Drosophila melanogaster: one gene and its partner. Changing the gene in region 1 together with any one later gene gives a genetic interaction. Each region holds a gene or a part of one and is shown on either strand. Other genes may lie near its edges.

The links.
Region 2: of Prosbeta2 (region 1) and HDAC6, changing one suppresses a phenotype caused by changing the other (phenotypic suppression), as found in Drosophila melanogaster (one study listed by BioGRID).

Annotation. Positions count from the first base shown.
Region 1 is NT_037436.4:14,998,120-15,001,819, reverse strand, and holds Prosbeta2 (proteasome beta2 subunit), read right to left. Parts: upstream 1,870-3,700; 5' UTR 1,753-1,869; coding exon 1,691-1,752; intron 1,621-1,690; coding exon 1,441-1,620; intron 1,176-1,440; coding exon 599-1,175; 3' UTR 501-598; downstream 1-500. Other genes in the region: mRpL39 (mitochondrial ribosomal protein L39), read left to right, coding at 2,211-2,283, 2,535-2,859, 2,924-3,024, 3,198-3,640.
Region 2 is NC_004354.4:15,332,383-15,336,308, forward strand, and holds the start of HDAC6 (histone deacetylase 6), read left to right. Parts: upstream 1-2,095; 5' UTR 2,096-2,268; coding exon of another isoform or gene 2,269-2,292; 5' UTR 2,293-2,574; coding exon 2,575-2,886; exon of another isoform or gene 2,887-2,967; coding exon 2,968-3,098; exon of another isoform or gene 3,099-3,163; coding exon 3,164-3,347; exon of another isoform or gene 3,348-3,589; intron 3,590-3,907; coding exon 3,908-3,926. Other genes in the region: CG9114 (uncharacterized protein), read right to left, coding at 1-560.

The DNA of each region.
Region 1 (3,700 bases):
TAGTCCTAGAAGGAGTGTGTATGATCTGACTCAATCAAGTGAATTCTTGGTGCCAATTAACCCGTTATTCTAAGGAGATGGAAAGTGCCTTCAACTGTAAGGAATTGACCCTCTGTACCATGTGATATTAGCTAAATTAATTCTTAAGCTTTAATGTTCTTTTATAGTTATTATTTAATTTATGCCAGGGTCCGTAAATCACCAAAACCCCCTTTTTGTTTTACCTAATTTAAATGTATTTAATAATTCAAATCATTGCTCCATGGTAATATTTAAATTTAAAATAATTATTTAAAATCTGGATCGTAAAAGTACAAAGAGATTGATGGACCAAAACTCGACACTGTGCCCTAACCATGTGGAAACATTCTTAAATTTGGAAAACATTGTAATATAATTATTTTTTGGTCCCTGGCTAGGAGTTCGTTAATGACCAAAGCATTGTCCGCCTAGGAGTATCGCTAGTCTAATAAAAACCCCAGAAAAAAACACAGCAACTTAAGATGAAGCATGGCTTCCTTTATTGAACCACTCCATATAGATCCTGCCGAAGCTTTATTATAATAAATGTACGAAAAGGGTAGAAAGGGGAATCGCTTTAAGAAATCTCCATGGGCACCGCCTGGACGCGTTCGGTGACGAGTAGGTCCTTAATGTTGGTGTGCAGCACGGTTGAGGTTCCGGTCTTGAAGCGGTAGTCCAACTGGCGCTTGCCCTTCTTGTTAGCCAGCTCATAGTTGCGCAGATACTCAACACTGCCCTTGCGGATAACACACAGATCGATGTTGGATCCCGAACCCAGATCGTTAAACACTCCGGAGGCGATGGCATCGCGCACCAGTTTCTTGCCCTCCTCTTCGGACAAGTCAGGTTTCCAGCGACTTTCGAAAACGGTCATGGCGGCCAGGGAACCCGATCCCATGGTGGCGTACGGCAGCTTATCCGAACTTCCATGTGGGTGAATGGAATAGATGTGGGGTCCAGTCTTATCCACTCCACCAAGCACCAGAGCGGCACTGATATGACCCTGGTAGCGGAAAAGCATCTGCTTCAACATCGTATTGGCGGCCACAACGCGCACCTCACGATCTGTCTGCAAGCGATGCAGCTCCAGCTGGGAGGAGATGAGATCCGTAGTCATCTCAGTGTCCGCAGCGGTTCCAGCTCCACAGCAGCTGAAGGTAAATATTTTCGTTAGGTATTGGGAGATACTTGCATGTTAGAAAGTACACATATTTTTAAGTTAGAGCAACATAAGCTACACCCTAAGATCCTCAACTTAAAACACGGGCCCCTTAAAATTGGAGACAAATTGATCTAAGCCGGCGAGGACAAGGAAATAGGCCCACATTTGAAATGCAGGAAAAAATACCGTAATCCCTCTTATAGTATTATTAGGTTCCCTGTGCACTTAAAGGCGCATACCGTCGGTGGACTTACTATATGTTTTTGGCCAGGTAATGGATCTTGGCGCAGTTCTTGTCCGAGACAATGGGTCCCTCGGTGGCTCGCGTATCGGCGCCCAGAATAACACCATCCTTGTAGATGATGCCAACGATTGTGGTTCCCGTCTTGGTGGTGGTCGGTGGCTTGAAGCCTCGATTCAAAAGAGTTGCATTGCTGAAAGCAAATAAAACACCAATTAATAAAAGCCGATGGGGTATTGCTGAACAACTTGGACGATTCTTACCGCTTGCAGTTGTCGAAATTGAAACCAGCGCGGGGCAGATCGCGTGCGTTATCCAAATCCATTATATATATTCTTCAATTCAACTATATTAGCAAGGAAAACTAAGGTTTTAATTCTGCCGAGCGCGATGACAAACAAAATTGTTAAATGCTTGCTAGAGCTGGAAGTACAATCGATATTGTATCGATATATATTCATGGACTCAACTAGAGCGATAGTATTGAAGAAATAAATTATTAATAATTTGACGTTATTAATAATTTGACTTATGTAACTTAAATTATTCAATGTTGTATTATTTTAATATTTTAATGTTGCATTGTATAATTTTAAAACTTTTTAATGTTTGGAAATATTCCCCGCAGTATACATGCAATAAGTGCTTAGGAAGGCCCCTTATCTTTTGTAAGCGAATAGTCATGTTTGAAAAATATCGATATACTGTTTCCACCTGACCATCTTGGCATAGTACCATCACTTTTGTGAACTGCATCCCTGAAGAGTATTTTGGTAATTTACCATGTCTGCGGCCACCAAATTACATAAAACAAGCTGGTGCGCCCTGCGGCAGCTTCAACAATACAGAACTAAGGGTAAGTAACACTAATTAGGAGTCCTTTTATTGACCAAAGATGGAGGAAGTGGTTTACATAATGCCGGCAGTCATTCACGTTCCGCGGAGCTCTTCGGCTAGTGATGGCAGTTCGTTGATGTCTTGGCGGAAAAATCGCTAGAATTTCTATAGATCCCAGTTATTATTTTAGATAGTCAACCATAATTTAAATTCAATTTGTTGAAACTGTACTATAAAATATGTCTTTTAACTTATTAATTATCCCTACAGCCAACTTTAGTGGCAGTTCTGCATCGTTAGCCAAGCGGAATGACCTGTTCAACCAGGAGCAGCGCCGTCAACGGGATGCAGTGGGTCGAATCGATAAGATCGAGGTGCGGTATCTGGGACTTCCCGAGGATGTCACTCTGGTGATGAACGGCAACATCTCAACGCCCTTCAATTGCGCCCAGCATCTGAGTGAGGGGCACTGTAAGCGATCGGCACTGGCCTTGATCGACGGCAGTGTTCCCTGGGATATGCACAGACCCTTGCAGGAATCCTGTACTCTGCAGCTGCTTAACTTCCATGTTTCCGAGCCACATGTGGTCAACAAGTGAGTGCTATACTATTTATAATATGGCATTTATATTAAACTTGCTTATGTTGTTTACTTTTAGAGCATTCTGGCGCACTTGCAGCTTTATGTTGGGAGCCGCCTTGAACCGCGCTTTCAAGCCGGAGGCCAATCTTCAGCTCCACAGCTTTCCTGGACCCAATAGTAAGCAGAATCACTTTTTAGGATTTAAGATTAGGATATTTTTTTTACTAGGTTTCGTCTTTCCCCCTTTTAATTGGATGAAAATTTCATAGATATATATCTTAAAACTAATACTGTCTGGAATATTCTATAAGCGAGACAAATTATAAAATTACTCCTATTACATTTCACAGTCAAATCAGGTAGCTTCGTACACGACATTGTGCTCCAAACCCAGAACTGGGAGCCAGGAAAAGAAGAGATGCGCGCCCTTTCGGCAGAGATGGTTAAACTGGCTGCTCAGGATCTGCGCATCGAGCGTTTGGACGTCCAACAGGATCTGGCCCAGGAGATGTTCAAGGATTCCAAGTATAAGAGCGAACAGTTGCCCAGCATCTCGCAGCAGACCAATGGAAGGGTCACCTTGTATCGCCTGGGTGATCATATCGACATCTCACGCGGTCCAATGGTGGCGTCTACCAGCTTTTTGGGGAAATGCGTCATCTCGGCTGCCCACAAAGTTGCGGAGGAGGGTCCCTCTGGTGCTTTCTATCGCATTCAGGGCGTTGCACTGCCGTCTGGCTTCCAACTGAATCATGTTGCATTTGGTGTATTGGAGGAGCGTTCTAAGAAACCTGTGAGTATATCTCGACGTTTTTCGATAAAGAGCTGTGTCACAAATTTAAAACACATTTTA
Region 2 (3,926 bases), on another chromosome or scaffold:
TCCTCATTTAAGAAATCCTCCTGGAAATCACAACGCTGACGCTTGCCATTGCCGAACTCCAGTTCCACAACGGCCTGGAAGGAAATGGGACCTTCGACCATCTGGTAGTCCACCACATCCTTGTGATCCGCCACCAGTTCGAAGTTGGCCCCGTGATCCTTGGGCCTCTTTAGGACGACGAGATGCTTCCAGCACTGAATTAACAGGTAGATGCCCTCCCGTTGCCACACAAACTTTCCAAATTTGAGGGGCAAATCCTCCGGCGGATCCAGCATGCTCCAGTCCACCTTTTCGTCAGTGGGTTCCTGCTTGGACAGAAAGGGACAAACCGGTCCGTCGTAGGCCTCCAGTTGGGTGGCTATTTGCTTTAGTTTCGTGACCTTCAAATCGATGTAGTGCACCAGATCCTTGCGCCGGAATTCGTAGAACTTTAGGTTTCTCGCTAAAACCAATGTAGTGGGGTCATCCCGCGGTCGGCCCACGTGAAGATTGGCGCAGAAGGCCAACCGGGCCGGCTGGAGCAGCATCTCCGGCACATTCTCCTGGACAAACGGCAGCATGGATGCGGAAGCCACAAGATGGATGTGGCGCCCTTGACTCGAAAGCCCTTCGAATCGATAGCTATTGAATTCAAGTAGTAGTTATCGATGCGGTGAACGATATTAGGCTATTTTGAAATGGAAAAACCAATATTAATCGAGTTTCGAATGCTCCTTTTAGCGAGAGGTAAGTCTTTAACACCGCATAAACACAATCAGTGTTGCCTAACCAATCTGTGCCCTCCACTTTCTCTCATAATCAAGCAATTTCTCATAAAAAACGCACATCGATAAGCTGATAACGTTGGCCCTCGACTAACACCGATTATTCAACAAGTTGTGTCAATCGGCGGAGCAGCTGATCGTTGTAAGTAGCAAGAAGAAGACGCCACACAAACATTGCACTCCGCTCCGCCCGCGCGTTCTCATTTCCCATCTCTCTCACTCTGTCTCTCGCGCTCACCGTCTCTCTCTCTCGCTCCGCCTCGCAACCCCCACAGCGCTCCACAAACCGGGCCCCACATTCTTGTGTGTGATTTCTGGTTCAGGTTCTGATTTCCCGCGTGTCCTTGTGTGTGTGCGCGCTGCAGTGTCTGTGTATCTGTTACTGTTGCTGCATCTTCTGCATCAACTGCAACGTTACCAAAAATCAAAAGACAATCGCCTGCAAAAGCTTAATTTTGTTGCTCAGTGTTTTAAGTATTAGCTGTTTGCAAGCAGCACACACACGTAAGAAACAACAAGAACAACGATAAAAGACAACAACACAAATGCAGAGCATTTGAAGCGCAAACACACACAAGCATTCGGTGCGGCTGTAAGAGCGAGACACAAAATAAGGCTAATTTATAAAAGAAAAGTGTGCTGCAAGGAATCGATAAATAACGGGAGTCGAGGAGCGGAATAGGAGTAACCAATAAATATAAATACTGTAAATGCGATATTAAAAAGCGACAACAACAACAAAAAGCAGCTGTGAATCACTCCGTCCCGCTCCCCCGCGCTTTCAGTCACTCCAGTTGCTCCACTTCCATATATATTCGGATTTGGACTCCGATTCGGATACGGATTTCGCTTGGTTCGATTCTGTTTTCTTCGGATCGGTTTAGCTTTGCTTGCCAACTCGAAATCCCACAAACATGGTGAGTACTGGCAGATTATTGCCGCCGTTTTCGAGTTGTTTTGGCCAAAAGCGGCAGTGGCAACCAAACAGCAACACCCACACACCACACACACACGTACAGTGCAAGCTTCTTGGCCAGGTTTTGAGCTCCTCCATCGCCGCAGTTCCAATCCGAACTTCGTGGTAAACAGTTGTCCGCTGAAAACGCAGTGCAGCCTCCGCGTGAAGAACGCTCTGAATATACGGTTTCAAAGTCCTAAGAGGTTGTTTATATGAGTCTAAGTACAGCTACAAGATATATTTAAGCTATGCTTTTCGAAACTATCGTGTAGTTGTTCCAAATACAGTGAAACCTCAATGTTCGGTTTTTGAAGTTAAAAAGAAATATAAACATATATTTGAAGTTTACAAACTGTACAGTATTAATTTGAGCAATAAACCCAACAGTCCAGATTTGAAGTTTTTTTGACATGTTTCAAATTTTTAATATTCTAGCATAGTGTAACGTAAAACATGATTAAATGTTTAGCAACAGCAAAAAAACTACATTTTTGCAAATAGTAAACAAAATTTTAAGCAGTTAACCGAAAAAGTTACAGACCATAGATGTTACGCGATATTTGGATACAGGTTTTAATCCAGATTAGTTGCAATCCAGATTCCTAAAGTCCTATGTCAATCGCCGTAATCTTCGATTGAAAAAGGCCGAGAGTTGCTTTTTTATGTGGTAACATTGGTAAAATCTTTCATGCCATTCCACATATGGTTGTTTGGAAAGGGTTAGGTAACTGGATTCTTGAGCACTTGTCTCACCCCAGTGGGCAATCAAATTCGCCTGTGGGAGCAGCACTGGCGATCCATCTGTGCATGAATCCCCGCCAGAAGCTGCGTTGTGTGTCTACCTAGCGGGAAATGCTTACTAAAGATTTAAATTCGTTTTCGCAGAGCCCGCCCATCGTCACGCGACGGAGTGCGCAGCAGGCAAAGATTCAGACACGGGCAATGGCCAGTAAATCGAAGACGGGCACGACAGGGGCGGCGACGGCGGCCGGCGGCACCGGCAGCAGCAGCGGCAGTATCAGCGGCGGATTTAATGCCGCCGATCCGCGAAAGTCGAACAAACCGAACGCAGCGCTCTTGGAGGCGAAACGTCGAGCTCGGAACAACATGCTCAAGAATCAGGGCTGCGGATCGCAGGAGAGCGTCACGGATATATTCCAGAATGTGAGTGCTATCTGACTGACCTCTATCCTCTGTCCTTGTGCAATCCTAACCAAGTGATATTTAATCGTCGCCGACGAAAAGGCTGTCAACAGCAAGAGTCTGGTGCGGAAACCAACGGCACTGATCTACGATGAGTCCATGAGCCAGCACTGTTGCCTGTGGGACAAGGAGCACTACGAGTGTCCCGAGCGCTTCACACGAGTCCTGGAACGGTGAGTATATTTGAAGAAAACGGTACAAATTAAGCTGATATGTATTCCCTAATCTCCTCATCCAGCTGTCGCGAACTAAATCTGACGGAGCGCTGCCTGGAGTTGCCCTCGAGATCGGCGACCAAGGATGAAATTCTGCGCCTGCACACAGAGGAGCACTTCGAGCGGCTGAAGGAGACGTCCGGGATTCGCGATGACGAGCGCATGGAGGAGCTGAGCTCCCGCTACGATTCAATTTACATTCATCCGGTGAGCAAGCGCATCCAACGGGGAACATGGAACAGTGCATCCCAGTGCCTGGCTCCAAATTAGCTCATTTTATTGTATTTGCACTTGATTGCTTGCGGAGATTGCGTTGTTTTTAATTCGACGGCTTGATAAATGCAAATTGGAGCAGATTAGATTAGATGCGACCCATTGCACAGGTACAGTGCGGTGCATAAATGTAAATGGTTGAGTGACTGGCATAAATTATGCAAATGATTATACCTCCGAACTTAAAATGCATTTATTCCCCGATTGTAATTCTAATATGTCTATTCTTGTTGTGATATTCATTATCTTTATATTGCGTGCAATCTTTATTTAGTTTGCTCAAACTTTAGTTATTAATTATTACGACTGCCCGCAGCTTTTATTACTTTATATTTCATTAGCTAAATCCTCCAGCAATCTGAAGCGCACTGTAAATTCGTTAAAATGGGCTGGTACTCATACTATTACATCCTAGATAAGATTCCCGCTGTTTTACTAGCACCGAACTTGTTATATATAGAACACTGATAACCTTATCCGCCTCCCACCCGCAGTCCACATTCGAGCTCTCCC